3 linked regions of the Arabidopsis thaliana genome follow. The protein of the gene in region 3 interacts with the protein of the main gene of each other region in a pairwise test. Each region holds a gene or a part of one and is shown on either strand. Other genes may lie near its edges. The genes, in order: AGG2, GG1 and NUDT7.

Region 1 (8,156 bases), on a different chromosome or scaffold from region 3:
CGGGGCCATCACGCTTATGGAATAAAACAATATTACATGATATAATGACATCTTGTATCATAATGCATAATATGATCATCGAAGATGAGCGTGATATTGATGCACCAATTGAAGAACGGGTCGAAGTTCCAATTGAAGAAGTTGAGATGACGGGTGATGATGATACTCGATTTCAAGAATTTTTGGCTCGGCACCGACAAATTAAAGACCGAGAAGCTCATATTGAACTTAGAAATGCTTTAATTAAACATTTGTGGTCGCAATATACTAATTCTGAGAATTAGTACGATGTAATTTATTTTTATTATGTTTGGTTTATCGATTGTAATATTATATTAATTAATGAAGAATAAAATAATATGTTGTGTTTAATTAAATAATATGTTGTGTTTCTTTATTTTGTATTAAATTTGTTTAATGTAATAATTTGTTGTCTAACATTTGTTTCAATATTATTAAGTATTTTTAAAGTATTCATATTTTAGGTTAATAATATAATAATAGAGAATAGTATTTTTAGTGTGACTTTTGGTGTTGTGGTTGGAGATGAAAAAGAATTTAGTGTGAAAATCACACCAAATATAGTGTTATTCTAACACAATTTTAGTGTTGTGGTTGGAGATGCCCTTAGAAGAGATACTCTCAAGACTTCCATTGAAGTCTACGAGAGCAGTGAGATCGACTTGCAAAAAGTGGGACTCTTTATTCAAAAATCGGAGCTTTATTAGTAAAGCAGCAGCAGCAAGAGAAGGAGAGTCTCAGATGGTCGTGTTGATGGATCACAATCTTCATTTAGTGAGCTTCTTCTTCGGCAGTGATACTTCTGTAGAGATTAAAGGTAAACGTATTTGTCTAAACGACGATTCAGATTCAGAACAAGTCAAGATATCTCAAGTTTTTCACTGTGAGGGTTTGTTGTTATGTATCTTGAAAGATGATAACTTTAGTCTTGTTGTTTGGAACCCGTATTGGGGACAAACAAGGTGGATCAAACCCAGATGTTCTTTCGAAATACCCCAGGGATGTGACATGTACAGGTACGCTATTGGATACGACAACAAGAGACGCAACCACAAGATCTTGAGGTTTATAGATTATGAATTCCATTACCCTCGAGACAACGTTGTTTTGTGGTATGAAATCTATGATTTTGAGTCTGATTTATGGACGACTCTTGATGTTACTACTCCACATTGGTTGATAAATTGTGGTAACCGTGGTGTTACTCTCAAGGGAAACACTTACTGGTGTGCTAAAAAAAGGAACTCTGACCTTTTTCTCAATGCTGATCATATAATCTGTTTTGATTTCACAAGTGAGAGGTTTGGTCCGCTTCTGCTTTTGCCGTTTAGTGATTTGGATGGTGTTGTTACTCTAGCTTGTGTTAGAGAGGAGAAGCTTGCGGCTTTAGTTTGTCACGAGGATGTTGTTGAGGTTTGGATTACGATTAAGATTGAGGCCAATGAGGTATTGTGGAGCAAGTTCTTGACAGTGAATGTTGATTTGGGTGATGAGATTCCGAGTTCACTGACATATGGTAGTTTTTTCATCGACGAGGAGAAGAAAGTTGCTATGATTTTTGATAAAACTTTGGATCGCGGCGACACAGTTCACATCATGGGAGAGGCTGGATATGGTGGACAAGTTGATCTCGGAGAACCGGTTAATAAAAGACGTTGCCCACTTGTGTGCTCTTATGTTCCGAGTTTAGTGCAAATCAAGAAACCTGCAGGATTCCAAAGGAAACAGCAAAGCAAGTTAGAAAAGCGTCAATATGTTCGAAACATATCGAAACTTCGCGCACTTAAAACCCAAAGTTCTTGGACATTAAGTATGTCACTTGAATGTCATCAACAGTAAGATTTATGTTTCTTGGCTCGTACTTCGATTTATTACTGCTATGTTTTAGACTGATACTTTACTAAATATTACATGGCTTCATCAGGAGCTTGGTAGAGTGAGAAAGCATTGCCAGCCGATTTTTGCCCGTATAGCTCCGTCTCAGTTTGTTTCGGGCCATTGTTGAAAGGACTTCCTGTGCGCTTTTTTGTCGATCAATAGTTTAGACCGCTCTTTTTTGTTGCCACTTTCTTGCTTAGGGGAGTCTTTAGATCGAGTTTTCTTCATCTTCTTACTAAGAGCCTCATCGCTTAAGGTTTAGTTGATGCGATGAATCTCGAAAGGATTATGCTTCCATGTTTTTTTCCTTTTTTTGGCATGGGACCATGTTTGTAGGTTTTGCTTCTTGTAACTCCTAAACTTTCATTTTATATGATATTTACATTCTTATCAAAAAAAAAAATATATATATTACATGGCTTCATGCTAAAGGACATGATATTAATCAGATTTTTAAAATTTAAAGATGGTGGAACCTCAGGTTTTCGATAATATAATTTAGAGATAGCTTCTGTTATCTGGCCTAGTCTCTACAAAGTTTTTAAAACCGAACCAGCGACTCGACTAGATGGCATTGTCGATATATCTATCTAGCAGAATTTCAGTAGCAGAGTCTTTTTAGTGAGAGGGTCAGGTGCATTATCAGTCCTTGGAAACATCAAAGACAAGAGCAAGTTGTTCATGCTCAAACTAAAAGATTACCATCCACCATTTTGGGATATATATTCAACTTCTTACTCTTTGACATCTTGGAAGTCTTCCACATCCTCTTCTTCTTAGGTCGTTATCTTCATAAACATCTTCTTCAGTCAAATCTGCCTCACCTTCTGAGTAGCAAATATTTTAAACCAGACCATTTGTACTTCTGACTATTCTTCTGTCCGATATGTATCTCTTTAGAAGATCTTGGTGCATAATGGCCTAATGGGGATCATCATTAATTAGGAAATAAAAATCAATTCTTATATGTGCTGAGAAAAAAAAAAAAAAGCTTTGAAGTTAAAACTAGAAATAATAAAACATATTGGATTAAAGATAATTAATGTGGATCCATGGAATGATCGATCATGACGAGAAATAAAATATTATGGGGAATATATAAAGAAAGAAAAATGTGCAAGATGATTAGTATGAAAATAACATTCCCTTAGTTTCACAATATAAGTGTTTTGGAGAAATTTTTGTTTCGAATGTTTTCAAAATTTTATGCAAATTATAGATTTTTTTATTTTTATAATTATATATATATATTATATGGTCTATTTTATGATTGGTTAACTTTTTAAAAAAATAAACATGAGTTATTGAGGTTTCAAGAAGAAAGTTTTATGTTTATGGCCATCAAGACTGAAATAATGTTTTGTTTTTCTTATTTCCGTCGACTTTCGTCTTTTTCAAAATCGCAACTTTTATATATATTTTTTTCTCTCGCCTTTCGATCATCGGAAAAGCTCTTTTTCAAGTCTCCCCAACTCATAACTTTGAATTTTCTATTTGCCCCCTCATAAAATTTGCTTCTATTCTCTTTGTTTGTTGGAGTTCTCAAGATCTGTTTGATTCTGAATCCTTGTAATTTTTGTATCCAACCAGTAACAAATGGGGTTTTGTGAAGGTTTATGAGTTTCCCATATTCAAATGGCGATCTTTTAGTCTGAGTAAAATTGTGGTTCTTATCTGTTTTTGTTAAAGTTTCGATTTTTATTTTGAGGGTTGAATTCGAGAAATTTTGATGGAAGCGGGTAGCTCCAATTCGTCGGGTCAGCTATCCGGGCGGGTCGTTGATACAAGAGGCAAACACAGGATTCAAGCTGAACTCAAAAGGCTTGAACAAGAAGCTCGATTCTTAGAGGTATTTTACTCTCCTCTTAATCTTAAACCCTTTCTTGTTTCGACGTGCTTGGGCCTTTTGGCTGATTATATCATATAATTACAGATTGGATCAATCTGTTGTTTTTGTGCTTCGGCTCTTTTTGGATGGAATAGTATAAATCTGAGTGGAGTACGGTAGAGACTTTCAAAGTTTGAAACTTTTTTAGTTTTGGGAATCAATTTGATTTAGGGGTTTTTGTTGTTGTTGGTATTCAATGAGTGAAAAAAAAAAAACAGGTTTTGTTGTAGCAGTTGGTATTGTGGGGTTGCTTTTAGTGAGTTAATAGTACTTGTCTCTTGATATAGTTCCTTTTTATATGCTTAACAAGATTGGATCTTAGATTAATGGAATCGATCTGACTTTAAGAAATGTAGTGTAGAACTGTCTCCTTTTAAAGAGATTTTTGTGATGCTAAATGTTACTTGAGTGAGAGAGTAGATCCTTTGCGAACAATATGCTTCTGTTGATAAAACAAATCACCAGGGTCAGTAATTAGGAAGGTTCAAGAATGGTGAGGAGTGAAACTGAAATGTAGTTTAAGCTCTTGAGCATATTTCATTCAGGTGTAATAATATCTTGACTCTTGATCCCTTGAGGTTTAAGCTCTTGTCTACGTAGCTGTTATGACATTTGTGAACTCAAATGCTTGCTTAAAAGCGTTACAAGGTTTTAACTTTCTTCCTTCATTTATTATATTCAGGAAGAGCTGGAGCAGCTTGAGAAGATGGACAATGCATCAGCATCCTGCAAAGAGTAAGAACTTGTTACATAACTGATATCCGGTTCACGAATAATCATTCCACAAGCTTGACTAGTTTCTCGAATGGATGCAGGTTCTTAGACAGTGTTGACAGCAAACCCGATCCTCTTCTTCCCGAGTAATTCTTCTTCTGTTTTCTGATAGTTTCATTTCAATAGACTGTGAGATGATTAGGTCTGATATGTTTGCTTTTGTGACTACTTGCAGAACAACAGGTCCGGTGAATGCGACATGGGATCAATGGTTCGAAGGCCCTAAAGAAGCAAAACGATGTGGCTGCTCCATTCTTTGATCTTCCTTTCCTTCTCTCAAAATATTTTTGTCTCTACTTCTTCCAGAAGAGTGAGTTTGTGTTTTTACGTTCCCGCGGCAGTGAATTTGATGTAATTGGCAAAAAAAAAAATTGATTCATTTGTGCAGTAAAAAATCTATTGATCTTGATGTGTCTCTTAATTTAAGAAGACCACAGTGCCAAATTCACGCCACCACAAGAAAATCTAGCACAGTGGCCGTCGGTGATCCCCACACCAATGCATCTCAGTTCCAGATTGTCTTGGAAAAGTTCTCGTTTCTCGATGGTTTACATGTCGTGTTCGGGCAAGTTGTTGAAGGACTCGACGTGCTCAGGAGCATTGAAGACGAGGTTGGAACTTTGAACAGGATTCCTTCCAAGCCGGTGGTTATCGCAGACTGTGGTGAGCTCTGAGAGAGGCTACAATGGTGTCTTGTCTTGTTTTAATGGTTGCTCTGTTTTTGTTTTTAGTTCGTTTGGATTTTGAGTTTGGTGGTAGTTTTAAATCTGAAACAAAACAAGATTTTTTTCTTCCATATATGAAAATTCTGGACACAGTTTCAATGAGAGCAACCAAAATAGTTGAAGCTTGTTACATAAAAGTCAAGAGGATACAATGTTAAAGAACATATGAAGGAGACAAAAGAAACAAAGAAGAATAGTACGTACTCTCTCTGATTCAGTTCTGGTTTCCCCTTAACTCGTGGCTTTACCGGTAACTTTTTGGGCAATCCAACCGAGCCCATCATACAATCCTTCTCCAGTAACCGCACAACTTGCTTGAATATGCCAATCATGGTTCTTGATACTGTGAAGGTTAAGTGCATCCGTGATCTCAGCAGGAGTCATTGCGTCTTTCAGATCCTGTTTGTTTGCAAAAACTAGTATGACCGAGTTTTGAAGATCCTCATGACCAAGTAACCTGGCTAGCTCATCTTTCATGAAAGAGATTCTGGCTCTGTCTGTGCTATCTATAACCACAATCACAGCATGTGTTCCACGATAGTATGTTGCCCATGAAGTTCTTAGCCTATCTTGCCCACCAAGATCCCATACCTAAAGACAACATATCATAAAAGTAAACATCGCCTCAAATATTCGATTGCCAGTGTCCAACAGTTAGTTTTTGACAGGAAACAATTCAAACTTTAGTAAGTTTAGTTACGTTTATATTCATCATTGAGTTTTGACATATAAGAACACATGCAGATTGTCATAAAACAGAGATGAATTCATCTCAGGCCATGACTTTGACCACTGTATAAAGATGTTCCAAACAGTCCTCTGGCAAAAAAACTAAGCTAATGGGAAATAGCAAACAGTTCCTCCGGTATAACAAACAAGCTAGATAAACAACATCTACAAAAATTTACTATACAAAACCATAAATCGCACATACGAAAACGTTCATTATGAGTTTCTGACACCTTCTCAACCAATCATGACAAGAACTTAGACAAAAACATCATCCATTTTTCAACGAGAAAAATGCACACACCCAAGCAAGAAACATAGCTAGGGACAATAACACAATCAAAAGATGGCAATGGCAAATTTAAGAAACATCCATAAAGTTTCAAACTTCTAAAACACGTCCCTAGATAAGAAGCTAAGAAACAACTTCACCCAAATGAATAAAGAAAGAGTCCAGTACCTCAAAGCGAATATTCTTGTAGACAAGCTCTTCAACATTGCTACCAACAGTAGGATGAGTAGTAACAACTTCACCCAAATGAAGTTTATAAAGCGTCGTCGTTTTACCAGCATTATCCAAACCAACAACAACAATCTTATACTCTTTTGCAGGAAACATCATGAACCAAAACCTCGACATGAATGCTCCCATCTCCTCCAATTTCTATCACAAACAAGATCCTAATCAAATAAAACACATCATTACTTTTACGATCAAATTGTTCTACAAACAGAGTGAAATCGAGAAACCCTAAAGATACATCCTTTAAATTGACCCATCAATTTTACAAACCCAAGTAATTGAATCAGAGAAGCCCAGATCAGATTTGGATACAACGATCCCAGATTCGATAAAGTTAACCAAATCTAAATTATATATATACAAATCGGGAAATTTGTGATCAAACCTTGAATCAGCTAGAATCTGAAGATTGCAGAGGTAAGAATCGGAGATCAAAAAAAGTTCTTCTTCTACTATTTTGTAAGCTTTTGAGGTTCCTTCCTTAAAGCAGATGGGTGGAGAGAAGAAGAAGAAGAAAAGTATGCGGGAAACAATGTCAAAACTGTAAATATGATGATCTAAATTATTAATAACTTTTAATATAACAAATATTAAAATGAAAACTATATAGTAATGTTTTCTTTTACTTACCCAAACGGCTGCAGCCTCTACCGTAATGGCACCGAACACGTCACCGCCATTAGCCACGACGCCAAAGACGAACATTGTTGAAGACTTGAAATCCACAAAGATGTTTTTAAACGAGAAAAAAAAAAACTCAAACGGGCTTAGGGCCTTTCCATATATTTTAGATTATAACAATTACATTTTCTCGGCCCACAGAAGTATATAAAATTAAATAGAAGTAAATTATATTGAGGATTTAAAATAACAAATTTAATTATAATTTGAAATCATGGTTATAATACGATCGTGTGAAATGTTAATTAAATGCTTATATTGATTATTTTATTATTAAATTTGTGCTAATTTTGGTAACGAATCTTATTTTTGTTATTGTATACGATGATTTAAAATATATATATATATATATATATATATATATATATATATATATATATAATAGTTCTAGAAAAGTCTAATTGGATTTTTTAGATCCTATCATAGTTGATAGTTCTCTTTTTGTATATGGCTAGCAATGCGGAATCGACTCTCTACATTAGATTCAATGAAGGCTTGGAATGTGAACTTGAATCGAACATGTGTGTTATGTAACACTCTTATCGAGACACGAGAGCACTTGTTTTTCAGCTGTAAGTACTCGTCGGCAGTCTGGTCCTCCCTAGCGAAACCACTACTCTAGTGACGATTCTCTACAATATGGCAAGCTCTAGTCATTATTATTACTTCTGATCACTGTAACAGAATCCATATATTCTTCCTCTAATACAGTTTTCAAATAATGGTTCATTCGATTTGGCGAGAACGCAATAAAAAAAACACACAATAAAACTCTGATTCTTATCACACATCTTCCTAAGTGAATAGATAAGCTGGAAAAAAAAAAAACTCTCAATCATTTGAAAGGAGAAATATAGTAGATACGAACCAAATCTCCAAACATGGTTTGCATCTAAAAGTCCTTAAAACCTCTCTTGTATAATCTAATTTCAAAACA
Region 2 (7,823 bases), on a different chromosome or scaffold from region 3:
AAGAAATCACCGGAATCAAAGAAACTCTTTCGGCGTACTACTGAGGTTGGGTGGGCTCGGGCGTTCCTAATTGGAGCCGGATCTTGAGCTGCTCCCTTGTCATCGTGAAAGTCAAATATGTAGTCTCTGGTGACCCTGGACTCGGATGCAGATCTCTGGAGAGGCTGTTGGGGAAATGGCTCCAATCCCATGAGCCGTGCGATCACACTGGGTGAGCCGCGCTGGTTCTCAGCCTCAACCGCATCGGCTCGGATCTGTCTGTGTTTGAGGCAGCCCTTGGCATCCACGACGGCTCTGCTATCGAGGGAGAGCCTCGGAGCTTCTTTAGAGAACCTCCAAGGCCTAGAGGAAGAAGAAGAAGAAGAAGAAGATCTTTGTTGAGCCGGCGCAGGAGAGCGTAGCTCAGGGGTAGAGTACACACTCTGCTGATTCGTCCTACCCGAGGCAGATTCAGATTCAGCGCTCTGGAGAAACACAGACATTGTTGTTTTGTTGGTAAGTCAATTCATTGCATCCCTCTAGGAACAGGAGAAGAGGGAAAGAGAGATAGACAAGTTACCGGAGAGGAAGAGAGACGCTTATTAGGAGAGAGGAGACTGGGGCGATCGAAGATGTTGAAGAAGCCGGCCATGCAACCGCCGATTTGCTTCTCCAGATCTTTCTCTTTTGCCATTTTCTTCTGTTGGCTGTTGCTGCTGCACACTCTTCTCCCGCTTCTCTGCTTCTTTAAAGCACCCACTCCCTTACTCTAGTCTAAAGGATACTCCTCCTAACGTGCTTTTTTTTTCTTTTTTAAATACACTCTGACAACTCTGCATTCAATTTCCTTTTTTTTATTTATTTGTGTTTTTTCCTATCTGCTTGTTTTAGGAGTAATTTTGATTTTTGAGTTAATAATGGCTAAGTTTGAGTCCTAATAAATAAGTAAAGATCAAACCCCGCATATTTATTATCTTTACTTACCCAGCCCGTACTACTTACTTCTTCTTCTAGTCAATACATTATTTACTTACTCTAGTTCAGAGTTTACGATTCAATTCTGAATTCTTGTTTCAAGAGGAAAGAAAAATGCCACGTGGAAAAAATATGGAACGGAAGATGAGGAGATATGGACCCCGCTGTTGACCGACATCGACGTGGCAGTTTCAAAGTTGGGAATGCCATCATAAAGTAATGACCACCGTTGATACGCTCTCTTTCTATCTATTCCCAAGGCAGCTCTCTCCCTCTTCTCTCTTCTCTCTCTGCCTCTGCTTTCCGTTACGGTTGCACTTATCGGCCAGTTCAAGATTCTAATTAAGTTATTGCGTTTTGCATTGTTTATTTCATTCGTTTCCCATATGAAAACGTGAATGTGAAGAAGATACGTTACCACATTCTACTAGTGTTTTAGGGACATGGGACTTTCGTTTTTATGAGTTTCATAAAAACGGACCACTTCACTTACTCGAGATTTACAACTTTAACGGCTAACTTACTTATCCTAGTCATTCTCTTTATTTAATCACCCAACCAATGTATTGTATTCTATTGCCACGAAAAAAAAAAGCAAGGCGGGAACAGAGAAAAAGGGTTTGGCATTATGTGAGCATGTGAGTGAGGCTATAATGCATGTTTCAATGTTCAGGTTTCATCACGAGGTGAATTGTTTGAATCCCCAATATTTCTGTACTCTCTCTGACCAGATATGCTGCAGATGTTGTAACGTGCTTCTTCCGGCTGCTCAATCATTTTTCTTTTGGACCAACTCACATCTCTGTGTTAATTTCTCTTCTGTTTATATAACAAATTCATACTACAAACTTTGATCAATTTTTTTTTATTTATGGGAGAAGAAGGAGCTCTAATGAGGTCATCAACTTTGATCTTGACCAATGAGGCAATGAAAACAGATGACATACTACTGTATATCCAAAGGTTGTCAGAAAACCCACCTTACCAGTATTTGTTTACTCATCACAAATTTGAGGAATATTTTGGAATGCATAAACTATCTTTTTAGCTGTCGAATAAACTTACCGTAAATCACTTCTACTAATACCCTCTACATTTCTCAATTTTTTTTTTAAACCTCATAACTTGTTTTAATTTTTGAGACATAGAAAGAAAAAAACAAAAGGGGGTTCTACTTTAACAGACTGTAATAATACAGAAGTGGAGGAGAAGAGTAATAAGTAATAATAAAAAGACAACAGATGAGGCATGTGCTCTGTGTTCCATTATCGTTCTATCTATATAATAAACATAGGTATGTATGTATTCTGATCCTCGAAACTAGCGTGTGTGTATCATGGAGGGTGGATGTGGCCAAAAGTTATCTAAAAAGAAAAAAGAGAGACACACTTAACGGTCTTCAAGATTGTACCCACTTCCTCATTAGCTATTACTCTATTAGCCCCCAAATATCACTATGCACATTTCAGCTTCTTTCAACAAGATCTAGAATAAGAAGATGAGAAGCTGTAAGCCTGAAACTCCATTACTCGTATGTCAGATCCGGATCCCATACATTACATATACATATAATACTGTTTACGTAGGTGCAACTAAGCCGTTCTATGCAATTCCAATGCTCATTAATCTGTACGCTTTTTCTCTGCTACAGCCCCATTTTGGATCCCATGTAAAATGATATCCTAGCAAGAAACTAGTATATGTAACACATTACTCTGTCTAGCGAATCAAAGTATTAAGCATCTGCAGCCTTCTCCTCCATTTGGTCCTTCAAACCACCGGTCCCATCCTAAGTTCAAAGGTCCATTGGTTCTGCCAGCACCACAACATCCATCAGTTATTCAGTCCAAACCAACACTAGAGTTTCAAGGTTTAAAAAGCACTCACAGTGGCAACAGAGGATCGGGTCCTTTCTCGATGACAGATAGCAGCCTGCGAACCAAGGGAATATCAATTTGATCACCAATCAACGTACAAGTTTCAGTCAAATCCAGATAATATACCTACAGGAGCTAGCACACAGTTGCTTGCAAGCGTTAAAAAAAAACATAGGTTGAGTATCCCATACTTACTCCTCACACACGGTTGATACAATATCTGTGTTCTCGACCTCCTTCAACTCTTTCTGGATATAGTACATGAAACAGAAAGAGAGAGTAAAGCTATTTTTAGTAAGTGTTAGAGCTCACTAGTAGGAACAATAGGCAAACACATTATCTGTGCAACAGAGAAACTTGGGAGAAGGTTAACTTTTAACATGCCTCGATAGATGATAACCAAGAGAGAATGATACTAATTGGACTATGATCAAAAGTATTCTTGCACATCCCTAAGAATAAGATCAACAGAGAACCATTCCAATAGTGGATCCAAAGAGAACCCAGCAGATTTAGATTTTGGGAATACAATTCATAGAGTCATAAACAAGACTGACTGAAATGGTGCCACTTATTGTCAAGAGAACTACCATGCTCTTCTGATTGGAACAGATCTGCCATACTGGTTTTTGCTTTCACAGGAAACAATCTTAGCGACCTTTACCTAATTGTTGTAACAATTGATCTAAAAAGGATAATTGAGCTATCCACGAGAGACCTACGTCGGAATTTGAAAGAGATACGAGTTAGTTTAGCTACCTCCAAGAAAGCGACTTCCTGTTCAACGCGGGCAAGCTCTGCAAGGATCCTGTGCTTGCCCCCGCCGTGAGAAACAGACTCCTCCTGCTCGTAAACCACAGTTTCCTCTCGCATCCTCTCGCTAGCAGGTCGCAGATCTGACAACGTCAGAGAGAGTCTGGTCTTAGTCCGTACAAGTTTGAATTGTCGTCGAAGTCTCTCTCTCTCTGACTCAAATCGACTTTTCCCTTCCATTTGCAGAAAAATGCCAAAACGCCCAATACTATTATTTGGGCCAATTCTTGCAAATGAGCCCATGGGCTCAACAAAGGGATATGTGTTGTCGCAACAAACAACGTGACCGTACATAAACATGTGGTTGGAGTCAGTACTGACTCTGTTAGAGTTAGAGGGTTTAGTCACACTCTCATTCTCGTTTGTGTTTTTGATTGGCGGAGAATTGGTGATAGATAAGCTTCTTCTTCCCTCTTCTCAACTTGGTGGATCTGTCATCGATGGCCTCTTTGATGCTCAACGGGGCCATTACCTTCCCCAAAGGTTTAGGTTCCCCTGGTTCCAATTTGCATGCCAGATCGATTCCTCGGCCGACCTTACTCTCAGTTACCCGAACCTCCACACCTAGACTCTCGGTGGCTACTAGATGCAGCAGCAGCAGCGTGTCGTCTTCCCGGCCATCGGCGCAACCTAGGTTCATTCAGCACAAGAAGGAGGCTTACTGGTTCTACAGGTTCTTATCCATCGTATACGACCATGTCATCAATCCTGGGCATTGGACCGAGGATATGAGAGACGACGCTCTTGAGCCAGCGGATCTCAGCCATCCGGACATGCGAGTGGTCGATGTCGGCGGCGGAACTGGTTTCACTACTCTGGGCATAGTCAAGACAGTGAAGGCCAAGAATGTGACCATTCTGGACCAGTCGCCACATCAGCTGGCCAAAGCAAAGCAAAAGGAGCCGTTGAAAGAATGCAAGATCGTCGAGGGAGATGCTGAGGATCTTCCTTTTCCAACCGATTATGCTGACAGATACGTTTCTGCTGGAAGGTATCCTTTTCTTCTTCTTCTTCTTCTTCTTCTTCTTCTTCTTATAATCGTCTTCTTTCCGGTGGGTTTGATTGTGTGTCTCATCATCACACAGCATTGAGTACTGGCCGGACCCGCAGAGGGGAATAAGGGAAGCGTACAGGGTTCTCAAGATCGGTGGCAAAGCGTGTCTCATCGGCCCTGTCTACCCAACCTTCTGGCTCTCTCGCTTCTTTTCTGATGTCTGGATGCTCTTCCCCAAGGAGGAAGAGTACATTGAGTGGTTCAAGAATGCCGGTTTCAAGGACGTTCAGCTCAAGAGGATTGGCCCCAAGTGGTACCGTGGTGTTCGCAGGCACGGCCTTATCATGGGATGTTCTGTCACTGGTGTTAAACCTGCCTCCGGTGACTCTCCTCTCCAGGTCTTTTACCTCCCACTTCACCTTTTTTACTTTCTTCTCTCTTTGATACACTAAACTTATCACTCAAATGCTGCAGCTTGGTCCAAAGGAAGAGGACGTAGAGAAGCCTGTCAACAACCCCTTCTCCTTCTTGGGACGCTTCCTCCTGGGAACTCTAGCAGCTGCCTGGTTTGTGTTAATCCCTATCTACATGTGGATCAAGGATCAGATCGTTCCCAAAGACCAACCCATCTGATCCTTCTCTTCTAGGACATGATCATTGTATCATTGTAAACCCCTCTTGTGGTAAAGAAAGATTCGAGTCCTATCTATGAACATGCGGAATATCATTAACCTTCTTTCTTTACATGTATTACTAGATTTTCATGTTGAGATATCTATGCTACTTGTTCGATAAATTTTCTACAAACTTCGATTCCCAAACTCAATTCTGCCAACATATATCAGTCTCAATTTGATCAATGTTCCACGATCTGTAATAATGCAACTAAGGTAGAGTATTATATATCCGACCAACATAAAAAATATCATTACCTATTATTGCTTGCACTAAAACACGGAAATTAAAACAAAAACTCGCAAGTCAGCAGAGAAACCAATGGATGAGAGTGACCATCAATCCGCATAGCTAACCAGACCTCTCTTTCCTGGTGGAGAAGGTGAGTGAGAAGGGCTGAGTGATTCTGCAGGAGAGGTGCGTCCTCCTCTGATGGGGGATCTCTGTGGCCCGAGACGGGATTTCAGGTCTTGGCTAATTGGCTGCCTCTTTCTAGGGCTCTGGCTACGGCTACGATGCCTCGGACTCTGGCTCCTGCTTCCGTCTCTCAATCGTCTACGGTACCCATCTGGACTCCGAGAAGTGCTCCTTCTCCTCCGGTTGTACCTATGCAAGACAACACTCAATTTCAGAGGACATCCAACATTGCTATAAAGTTGCTCTTTTCAACTTTCAGCATTCAATTAGAATGTTTTGCTTAACCAAAATAATATCACAAAAAGGGTCGTTCTAGGATATAAATCTAATGCAAGTGGCTCTAGGTGCTGGTTTACAAGCTATATCGTCCCAAGCCAAAGCCAGAATCTGTACAGAGATAAGAAAGCGAACCTTGGAGGGCTCCTTCTTCTGGGTGGGCTTCTAAAGCGTCCCCTCGGTGAGCGCTCAGAGTAACTTCTGTTGCTCGGATACCTACATAATTAAACAAAATGAGGCTTTAGTACTATCCGCAGAGCTATCGTCCTTTGTTGTATGTATGTATAGATTAAGTTACCTATCCCTGTTCCTATCCTGAAAGTTTCTTCTGTCAGGCCAATGTCTAGGAGGAGAACGCTCAGGAGAAGGAGTATGGTACTTCCGAGCAAAGGAATAGCGTTCGGTGAACCCACGCCCCTTTCGGATGCGCTTGGGCACACCACTTGGAGATGGGCTTCTGAAAGATTTCCCCACAGTTTCCTCTGTTGGCTTCTCACGAGGACTTCTGCTTCCATTTCCAAGATCTCTCACAGGGCTCCTACTAGGACTTCTGTTTCCATTTCCAAGAACTCTCACAGGGCTCCTACTAGGACTTTTGCTCCTGCTGTTTTGGTTTCTCCTACGAATTGGGCTCCTGCTCCTGTATAGCAATAGAAAATGGCAAAGTTTGTCAGTGACCACAAAATCAGACCACCAAATTGCAGAAGCAAAGCTGAAATACATAAAGCCAGGGAGATAAACCTTGATTTCACTGAGTCATCCAAGTTGGCGTGTTGATCAGCGTTATCAACTTTCACTGACTTTATGGCTTTGTGGCCCACTTTCTCATCATCAGAACTGCTGCTACTCTCCGTGTCACTTGAACTATTCGTGCTTGGTTTTCTATCTGGCCGAGCTTTCTTTTTCCCGCTTCGTCCTTTACTCTTTCTTTCCCCGCGTCGGCCTTTGTGTCTTGTTGTTGACTTCCTCTTCCTATGCTTCCCATCACTGGAAGAACTAGACTCATAGGAGGAAGATGAATATGCTTCTGATTCCGAATCTGAATCTGAGTCGGAACTTGAGCTATATGAATCTGACGAAGAGTATCTTCTTTTTCGTTTTATCCTTTTCTCGTTAGATTCTTTTTTGCGTGTCTCCTTAGCTTCACGGTCAGATACGTCACCAGGAGAAAAGTTCTTGTTTGATTTTTTCGATTTCCCTAATAAACATTAAATATATCTGCATCATTATTCTAGAAACTCCATCATTATTATAGAAACTCCACATTCAAAGATTAACTTCATTACCTTTTTCTCTTTCAGCAGCATCATGTGCTCTTATCTGAGACGTTTCACCACAGTCTATTATTTTGACTGGGCTAGTAGGTTTCCCATCACTCGTCCCCACAAGTTCCATTTTCTTGATTACTGCCATCCCTTCAACGACTTTGCCAAATACAACATGCTTCCTACAATATGAGGATAAGGAAAATCAGGACCCTTAACATGCTTCCTTCCAAATGCATTAAACGTTTTGAGAGTCCTTTACAATGAACTTTGAATTTCTCAAAACAACAAAATCTAGGAACAGAGATTACCCATCAAGATGTGGTTGGCGTTTAAAAAGTATAAAAAATTGGGACCCGTTGGTATTTGGGCCACAATTTGCCATTGAAAGGACTCCAGCTCCATCATGGTCCAATCTAAAGTTCTCATCTGTAAAAGGATAACGGGATATTGAGAAAAAAAAAATCAATACCAGAAAGCCGTAAACAGAGAAACCAAAATTATACCTGAAAACTTCCCACCATAGATGCTCTCCCCACCAGTGCCTGCAAA
Region 3 (8,647 bases):
CCTAGAGAAATCTACAAGGCCGTTAAGACGTCCGCTCCAGCTCCTAAGTCGAGTAAGAAAAAGCCTAAGAACGCGGAGGCTGACGCCGACGGACCTAGCGCCGATGCTCCGTCAGATGATGATGTTGAGGTGGCTGACGATAAAAACGGCGCCGTATCAGCGATGATTACTCGAACAAGTAATGTCGTAACGGCCATTGTCGGGCTCTGTTTCGGAGTTTGGCTTATGTGAAGTGACGTGGCATTTACCTCGCTTTGGGAATCTTGTTTTCCTTTTTCTTTGTGATCTGTCGGTTTAATTTATTTTACATATTCTTTTTTTTGTTCACGTTGATACTTGGTGTGGAGATTTGGAATAATTAATTGTTCCACTTGTGTTGGATCTGATATGTTTTATTCTAAAAAAATGTGATGATCATTCAAAAGAGTGATTGGTACGTTGGAATCACGTGTATCTATAAAGATAGTGTCGGTGGTAGTCGAAATAGTGTGAGGCTGTGAGCTGTAAGATGCATGTTACATCCTTTGTGGTCGCTTGGATTTGACCCATGATGATGCTCCATCGTAACTACACTAATATGAAATATAGTATACTTTCAATTACAGAGGAAATCAGAATAGGGACAAAGATTATAATACGAGATAAAATGAGTGTTAGTTCAAACTTCCGATTATAATGTCGTAATATCTTTTAACCATATGTGTTGCATTGCACATAGTAATAAGGGCTTTAAGAGGGATTAAATGTTTTTCTATCTCTAGGTTGGGCATCTCCAACAAAAATTGTATTATCAGCTCCTACCTAATGTGGTGATATTCTTATTAGATATACTAGATCTTTCTTGTTCCATCAATCCATAATTAATAGTGTTTTGGACATGTAAGTTTAGTTAATCTCTAATCCGGTTTACAAATTGCGGTTTAGGTGTAATTAAAAAAAACAATCATGATTTAACTTATTAAATAAAAATCGGATGTATTTAAGAAATTTAGTGTGAGATAAAAATTGATTTTGTTAGTACCTACTTGTAAGAAATGTAATTATTTTATAACAAATGTAATTATTTTGAAGGATACTAAAATAGACATTTTATTGCTTTAAGTAATGTGCAAAACTTCAAAACATTTAATGCCACAACTATTGAACGAAGCTTTATTCACCCTTCTATTCACCTCCTTTTGCATTAACCAATAAAAACATGTCATGTCAAATCTTACTTAAATTACATAATAAATTAAAGCTATAATTATAAATCTAAACCGATATATAATCTCGTTTAATTACAAAATCTAAACCCTAATTCTCCTTTGTAAACCCAAACCTTCATTTAAACTCATTTAATCGTAAGAAAAAACTAAACCCTAATCGTATTTTCAAAACCCAAACCGACATTTAACCTCGTTTAATTGTAAAATCTAAATCTGTTTATAAACCTAAACCAATATTTAATTGGTTAATTGTAAAATCTAAACCCTAATCGTACTTTCTAAACCCAAACCGATATTTAACCTCGTTTAATCATAAAATCTAAACCCTAACCTTTTCTAATAAATCCAAACCGATACATAATTTCGTTTTAGTGGCAAATTAGATTTTATAATAAAATTAAATTCTTTTTATTATTGTTAAATGTCAGATTTTAATTGATTAAAATAGAAGAGGTGAATATAAGGGGGTGAAGGGTGAACCCAAGTATTTTTAGCAACTATTCCATTTTAAATTTTGATGTTTCCATGTTACAATAAATTTTCTATTTCTGGAAAAATAAATACACTATAATTTTAATATGGGGCCTATAAAGTTTTTTTGGGGCTAAAGCCCATATATGCCTTATCTTTTTCACGTTAGGCACACAGTACAAACGAGTCGCAAAAATTGGTGTACATATACAAAGTAATGTGAACCTTTTTAATGGCATTAACACTTTCTTGGATTCACACCATTTACCAGTGTAGTAAATGGTCAAGAGACGATACAGCTGAGAACTTAAAACCGGTTACGAGAAGATATTTTGGAAGAATAAACCAAGTGTATGGTAACACTCTTAAGCCTCATATCTTTAAAAAGCACGTAAGCGTTGGGAGAATCAAACCATCACTGGAAATAGACTAGAAGTCGATGGCAAGTTTTACAGTGGCTCATAGAGATGGTATAAACTTAAATATTTAGACGCAATTTTGTAGAATCGGAATAATATAGAAGAAAGTTTCCTGTTTTGTACACACTGGACACACACATGCCGAGATCAAACAGAATCAGATGAGAATGTTTTCAGAGAGAAGCAGAGGCTTGGTCACGCGATACTTTAAGGCGCTTGGCATGATCCGCATTGCAGTAGATAAAGCTCTCTTTACCAGATGATGTGGTAGTTGGCACAATGGCGAATCCCAAGTATTCTTCCTCACACTTCTTTTGGCAAATGTTAGCCATGAACTTGAACATCTCGTTCTTCTTGTTCCATGGTTGGTCTACATACTCTTGGATCGGCATCCACTGTAATACAATATACCAGTTTCGGTTAAATTTGAAATATATGTCAGTAACTTTTAACATTTTCTTGGCTCATCAACACTGAAAGTTAGAAAGGTTTACCTTAGCTTGCAAGATCTCAGATTTTTGTTCAGTAATATCGTAAGAGCGCGGACTTAAGACACACAGGAAAAACATATCTGTTTTCTTTTTTAAGATGGCTTTGTGGCTTTGCCTGAGAGTGTAAAGAGTTGAACAATGAGGAACAAATGCGTTTAAGCCAGATCAATGTGTCTACAGCAATAAAATTTAAGTTACCTGAAAGCCAGTACTTCGACAAAATCTGCAATAATCTGAAGAGAAAAGCCAAGAGAAGAACACAAATTTTAGATTAGAATGTCAAGTAAGAGATCCTTATGATTGAAATGCTTAATTTTTGAAAGCCAGATACTTACTCCAGTTTCTTCTTCCACTTCCCTAGCTACTCCAGTCCATATATCCTCGCCCTGTGGCATTGGAATGTTTTAGTTAGAAGCAAAAGACAACAACAATCAAAACTTCATATCCACCATTCTCTTAGTTTCATTCTTGGTATCATTACAGATTATCAGTAAACACTTGATGGATCTGTAAGATGTAAGAACTACTTTCTTATGCAATTCACCAACAACTCTCAGCACTACCAACTCCTAGAATATACTCCCCTAAACAATACGCTGACACCCTTCATAAGCCAAACCCTTACTAGTAGTTCACTCGTTTTCATTCACAGGACAATAAGGTATAGGATCCTAGGAGCTTCGTTCATCAAGATTGCCTCTTTTTAGCATTTAACTCTTCATGTCATTCACCGTGATTGTAAATATTTAACGGGATAGTAAAAGATCACAAAAACAATCTTATGTAAAAATCACCTCGTTGATAACACCAGTAGGCAGCTTCCACACATTTTTATCTTTGAAAAACCCACTCCTCTCCTGGACAACGAGGACCTGCTCATTGAATTATCATTATTTGTTAAGCAACGTATGCGAAACTATGCAAAGAAGAGAACAGTTGGCTACCTCTTTAGTATTTTTGTTGATGACCAAAGCACCAGCACCTACAACATGAGAAGCATTGGCTGGGATTGTATCAGGAGTTTCAGAGATCCAAGATACAAGCATCAAGTACTCAGGCTCCGCGTGGTGATATCTAAATCCTTCCTGAAAAAATCACCAAACACAAGAAGATATTCAACTAATCATCACAATAACTAACGTCAATCCAAATCCTCATATAAAACTTACACTAACTGCAGCCTCCACAAGATTAGCCAATCCAAGAGGCAGCTTTATCCAAATTCCCTTCTTCCCCTGCAAATCATAAACTCTGACTAAGTCCTCATGTTATCACAATCCTCTAAACTCTTAAGAGCTCATATCATATCTCAGAAGTTTATCAGTTATCAGTACAATCAAACAATAAGGCTTGAATCTGAGTTATATATATTGTTAATACCTCTTCTCTCCAATGCGAAAGAGAAGCCCTAAGACTTTCAGTAAAAACCTCAGAATCCATAGGTTCCACCATGGTTACAGTAACACCATCGTAATTATCAGTCTCACCTTCAAGTAAAGGAATCTGCTGAGCTCTAGTACCCATCTCAATCAATCTTCTTATCACAAAAATCAGCTACACGAGAGAGAACAAAAAAAAGTACACTTTTTTAACAAACCCATCTTCAGAAATCTCAAACAAGAGAGAATGAAGGAGAAAACTGTACCTGTGTGTACCTTGGAGAGAATTGAATTGAAGTTATCCTTCGATCTCAAGAAGACTTTATACAGAGAAGGTGAGAGAGAGAAACTGTAACGAAGACTTCATACAATTTCCGGGAAAAACCAAAAACCAAAAATAAAAAAACAAACCTAATTTAAAAAGAATGTTTCCGTGCCCTTTGTTTATTGGACTCATCTCGTTGGCCTCGGAAGTCAGAACAAAATGGAAACATCGTGGAACCACTTAAGAACTTTCAGAAGAAGCAGCAGATCAATGAGTTCTGATATATAGGAATTCCGCACAATATATTCCAATTTTTATTTTATTTTATAAATGAAAAATTATAAATTGTAGTCGTTTATTCTTTGTGTTAGTCTATTTGTTTCATTACGCCTAACGGCAGCAGCAAACTCTACCGCATATTGTTGAAGTAAAATGATGTCAACAATTTTTAACCGCAGCTACTTGCGTTTGCCTTAACGTTTGACCACATCGTCTTGCGTCCACCAAACGAATATCATCATGGTTGCTGCTGTCGCAAATAGATGCGGCGATCAAACGAACAACCTAATTATACTTTTAAATAGTTATATAAATATTCGGGATTTGTTGTTAATTTTGAAAATAATTTTTCTAGCTAATTCTTTCTTATATTCTTTCCTTGCATAAAATTGAAAAAGTTAAAATATTGAAATGTCCCGGTTGGTAAATTGTGAACTAACTAACCTCGAGAAATATGGGCTCTTTCAACTAATACCATAACTTTCGTTTTAATTAAGTAGATGATTCGATAAGTCGTCGTTTCGTCTTTGACTAGAGAGAAACAAACACAAGAGCGAGCAAGCGAGCGAGAGAGACAGAGATAATGGTGGTGGAAGAGAACCAGAATCAGATGATGGCTTCCATCGCCGGCGACTCAACGGTGACGGCAAATATATCGGAAGAAGACGAAGCAGAGGAGGAAACCACCACCAACACATGGAAAACCACAAAGGAATTACTGATTCTACATCTCTCCAAGAAGCTTCTCCATGGAGATCTCGATTTCCGAATTGAAGCCGCTAAGGAAATCCGAAAGCTGCTTAGAAAGTCTCCGGTTAAGTCTTCCGCTAGGTCAAAACTCGCCGACGCCGGCGTTATCCCGCCGCTTGTTCCCATGCTCTTCTCCTCTAACGTTGATGCTCGTCACGCCTCTCTCCTCGCTCTCCTTAACCTCGCCGTTAGAAATGAACGGTAATCTCTCTTGGATTGTTCTAGGTTTTATTGCCATGTACCAGAAACTGATTCTCTCGTCTTGTCTTCTAGGTCTAATTTAACTCGATCTGAGGCTTTAGGCAGTGTTTAGGATTAGTGACTTCACTAATCTCTGCTCAGAGCTTGATTTATGACATTGTTCTGGATTTGTAGTTTTAGTGTTAAGGCAATTGTTTAACTCTATCAATCAGGCATCAGAATGTACTGAGAGTAGCTACATTTTGGACTTTAGATCTGTTGAAACCAAGAGGATACTGCTTTTTGGACACTGATCTGATTGCTCTAGGTCTAGCTTTACCTGTAGTTTACTGCTATTTGGATAAAGATAGCAAATGTAGGATGTAATTTACCTACTTGCTCCAGCAGTATTTTCTACAGATCCTTTGTAATCTGTGTGGAAATAGATTTGCATTTTCAGTTCTTGTGGTGGTCATTACTTATTTTGGGTTGTGATTTCTGACCAGGAATAAGATTGAGATTGTGAAAGCCGGTGCCGTTCCACCTCTCATACAGATTCTGAAGCTCCACAATGCTAGTTTGCGTGAATTGGCCACTGCAGCAATTCTAACACTTTCAGCTGCACCAGCCAACAAGGCGATGATTATAAGTTCTGGAGTTCCACCGCTTCTGATTCAGATGCTTAGCTCCGGAACTGTACAAGGGAAAGTAGATGCTGTCACAGCCCTTCATAATTTATCAGCTTGCAAAGAGTACTCTGCTCCAATTCTTGATGCTAAAGCTGTCTACCCGCTCATCCACCTCCTTAAAGAATGCAAAAAACATTCCAAGTTTGCTGAAAAAGCCACAGCCTTGGTTGAGATGATCCTGTCTCACTCTGAGGACGGGCGAAATGCCATCACCAGCTGTGAAGATGGTATTCTGACTTTAGTAGAGACTGTAGAGGATGGTTCTCCACTCAGCATAGAACACGCAGTTGGAGCTCTGCTTTCTCTATGCCGCAGCGACCGAGATAAGTACCGAAAACTCATACTGAAAGAAGGTGCAATCCCGGGTCTCCTAAGTTCAACAGTAGATGGAACATCAAAGTCCCGAGATAGAGCCAGAGTTCTCTTGGACCTACTGAGAGAAACCCCTCGTGAGAAAGAAATGACTCCATTAACACTAGAGAAAATTGTCTATGGCATTGCAGTACAAGTCGACGGGGCAGAAAAAGCTGCTGAAACGGCTAAGAAACTGCTGCAGGACATGGTTCATAGAAGCATGGAGCTGAGCATGAAAAGCATCCAGCACAAGGCTGCGTCTTGTGCATCTATTCCTGATATCTCTTCCAAATCGAATAGCTAACGATCGTAGTGGTAATATTATTGATATCGTAGAAGCAAGAAGGTTGCATTACGAGATTTGTAGTGTTTCAGGTTCTGATCTGGAAAAATTCAAGAATTAGAGCCGGGTTTAGGTCTAGTCTTACCTCTCCGGAGTTGGAAGAAAAACCATTTGCTAAGTTTTGAAGGCTGAATTTTTCTTTCCCTTTTGTACATACTTTTGGTTATGGGTCATGTGTATATCAGAACCCTTCCTCATGCTTTTTACGCTGTCTCGTCACATTGATTCGGCATTTTCGTTTTGAAGTTTGGTATTCTTGGTCTTTGTCTGTTAAACAGTTTAAATGAAATACAGTAAAAATGACGGCCTTGAGCTCTATTAAAAGACCACCGGACAAAAATGGATTTCTTATTTCACCGAGTGCATAAAAATGGTTTCTAACTACAGCAACTATTGGAAAAATGTACAAACTCACAAACTGACGTCGTTTTAGCCCACACTGACCTCAGATTATAAACTAAAGTAACGTCCTTTTGCTATAGTCGATGTCTCGATGACGACGCAAGTAGAGTCGCTCCACCTCCACATGTACACGTGTAGGCAAAAAAATACACACACACATTACAAGAAATGTTCCAAGCTCTTCGATTCCTCCGCTTGACATGGCCATAACTATTCTTGACACTGTCTCTAATCTCTGAGAATGACATTCATCGAATCTTGAAGACAAAGATGTCAGGAAGATCTGCATTTTCCAGAACCGGAGGTTTCCGACCTGAGAATCTAGGGCAAAACGCAGTATCCTTAATCGGAAGCATAGGCTTCTCTGTACTCGTAATCGGAGTCGTAGTTTTCACCATTATCGCTGCTACATATGAACCAGAAGATCCACTATTTCACCCATCTGACAAAATCACAACTTTCCTCACATCCAATTCAAACGCTACTCTTAAATCCGACGACAGTATTGTCAAAACCGGTGAAGATTTCATGGCGGCGAACCAAACCGCGTTTGGCGGATTCATCAATATAGCTGATGTTGAAACATCTGAGAATGACTCTGATGGTAATCAATTGGATTGTGATACCAATATCCCAATTGATTGCAAAGATCCTGAAGTTTTTCACTTGATGATGAAAGCTACTATGGAGAAGTTTAAAGACAGTCACTTTTATAAGTTTGGTAAACCTGTGATTGTGGAAGGTAGTAGTAGTTCTTGTGATATGGCTTGGCGTTATAGACCTAAGGATGGTAAAGCGGCTGCGTTTTATAAGGATTATAGGAGGTTTGTGATTGAAAAGTCTGGGAATTGTAGTGTTAGTGTGATGGGGATTGGTGAGTATCATTCGGGTGTGAATGCGAGGAAGCGGAAGAGGCCCGGGTTTCGAAATTCGAGTGGTGGTAAGGTTGATGATTTCGCATTGCCTGTAGTTGGTGAAGCAGTGAATGATTCACTTCCTGTTGTTGAGTCTGAAAATGTGTTTAAAGAAGGTCATTACTTGGTTTATTCTGGTGGAGGAGATAGGTGTAAGAGTATGAACCATTTCTTGTGGAGTTTCTTGTGTGCTTTAGGGGAAGCTCAGTATTTGAATAGAACATTAGTGATGGATTTGACTCTTTGTTTGTCTTCTGTTTATACATTGTCTGGTCAAAACGAGGAAGGGAAGGACTTTAGGTTTTACTTTGATTTCGAGCATTTGAAAGAGGCTGCTTCTATGTTAGACCAGGTGCAGTTTTGGGCTGATTGGGGGAAATGGTATAAGAAGAATGGATTAAAGCTTCATCTTGTGGAAGATTTTCGGGTCACACCGATGAAGCTTGTTGATGTGAAGGACACGTTGATAATGAGGAAGTTCGGGACAGTAGAACCAGATAACT

The links.
Region 1: the proteins of NUDT7 (region 3) and AGG2 interact in a protein complementation assay, tested with the Arabidopsis thaliana proteins (one study listed by BioGRID).
Region 2: the proteins of NUDT7 (region 3) and GG1 interact in a protein complementation assay, tested with the Arabidopsis thaliana proteins (one study listed by BioGRID).

Annotation. Positions count from the first base shown.
Region 1 is NC_003074.8:8,130,847-8,139,002, forward strand, and holds AGG2 (G-protein gamma subunit 2), read left to right. Parts: upstream 1-3,230; 5' UTR 3,231-3,628; coding exon 3,629-3,748; intron 3,749-4,469; coding exon 4,470-4,522; intron 4,523-4,602; coding exon 4,603-4,647; intron 4,648-4,736; coding exon 4,737-4,821; 3' UTR 4,822-5,358; downstream 5,359-8,156. Other genes in the region: AT3G22935 (uncharacterized protein), read left to right, coding at 1-284; AT3G22940 (F-box associated ubiquitination effector family protein), read left to right, coding at 622-1,860; ARFC1 (ADP-ribosylation factor C1), read right to left, coding at 5,518-5,877, 6,476-6,667. UniProt on the Arabidopsis thaliana protein: Guanine nucleotide-binding proteins (G proteins) are involved as a modulator or transducer in various transmembrane signaling systems.
Region 2 is NC_003074.8:23,413,264-23,421,086, reverse strand, and holds GG1 (Ggamma-subunit 1), read right to left. Parts: upstream 3,839-7,823; 5' UTR 3,825-3,838; coding exon 3,591-3,824; intron 3,080-3,590; coding exon 3,027-3,079; intron 2,887-3,026; coding exon 2,842-2,886; intron 2,767-2,841; coding exon 2,682-2,766; 3' UTR 2,106-2,681; downstream 1-2,105. Other genes in the region: TRM5 (zinc finger CCCH domain protein), read right to left, coding at 1-464, 560-673; APG1 (S-adenosyl-L-methionine-dependent methyltransferases superfamily protein), read left to right, coding at 4,085-4,635, 4,730-5,036, 5,113-5,271; AT3G63400 (Cyclophilin-like peptidyl-prolyl cis-trans isomerase family protein), read right to left, coding at 5,652-5,919, 6,142-6,222, 6,305-6,646, 6,748-7,204, 7,293-7,453, 7,583-7,700, 7,778-7,816. UniProt on the Arabidopsis thaliana protein: Guanine nucleotide-binding proteins (G proteins) are involved as a modulator or transducer in various transmembrane signaling systems.
Region 3 is NC_003075.7:7,483,182-7,491,828, reverse strand, and holds NUDT7 (MutT/nudix family protein), read right to left. Parts: upstream 4,529-8,647; 5' UTR 4,235-4,528; intron 4,144-4,234; 5' UTR 4,114-4,143; coding exon 3,970-4,113; intron 3,912-3,969; exon of another isoform or gene 3,825-3,911; coding exon 3,759-3,824; intron 3,675-3,758; coding exon 3,534-3,674; intron 3,462-3,533; coding exon 3,384-3,461; intron 3,159-3,383; coding exon 3,039-3,158; intron 2,976-3,038; coding exon 2,925-2,975; intron 2,823-2,924; coding exon 2,788-2,822; intron 2,705-2,787; coding exon 2,593-2,704; coding exon of another isoform or gene 2,566-2,592; exon of another isoform or gene 2,494-2,565; coding exon 2,272-2,493; 3' UTR 2,174-2,271; downstream 1-2,173. Other genes in the region: FLA2 (FASCICLIN-like arabinogalactan 2), read left to right, coding at 1-231; AT4G12710 (ARM repeat superfamily protein), read left to right, coding at 5,096-5,463, 5,949-6,789; AT4G12700 (calcium ion-binding protein), read left to right, coding at 7,501-8,647. UniProt on the Arabidopsis thaliana protein: Mediates the hydrolysis of some nucleoside diphosphate derivatives. Can use both NADH and ADP-ribose as substrates, but not 8-oxo-dGTP, cyclic ADP-ribose, GDP-mannose, UDP-glucose, ATP, or GTP. Exerts negative control of EDS1 signaling.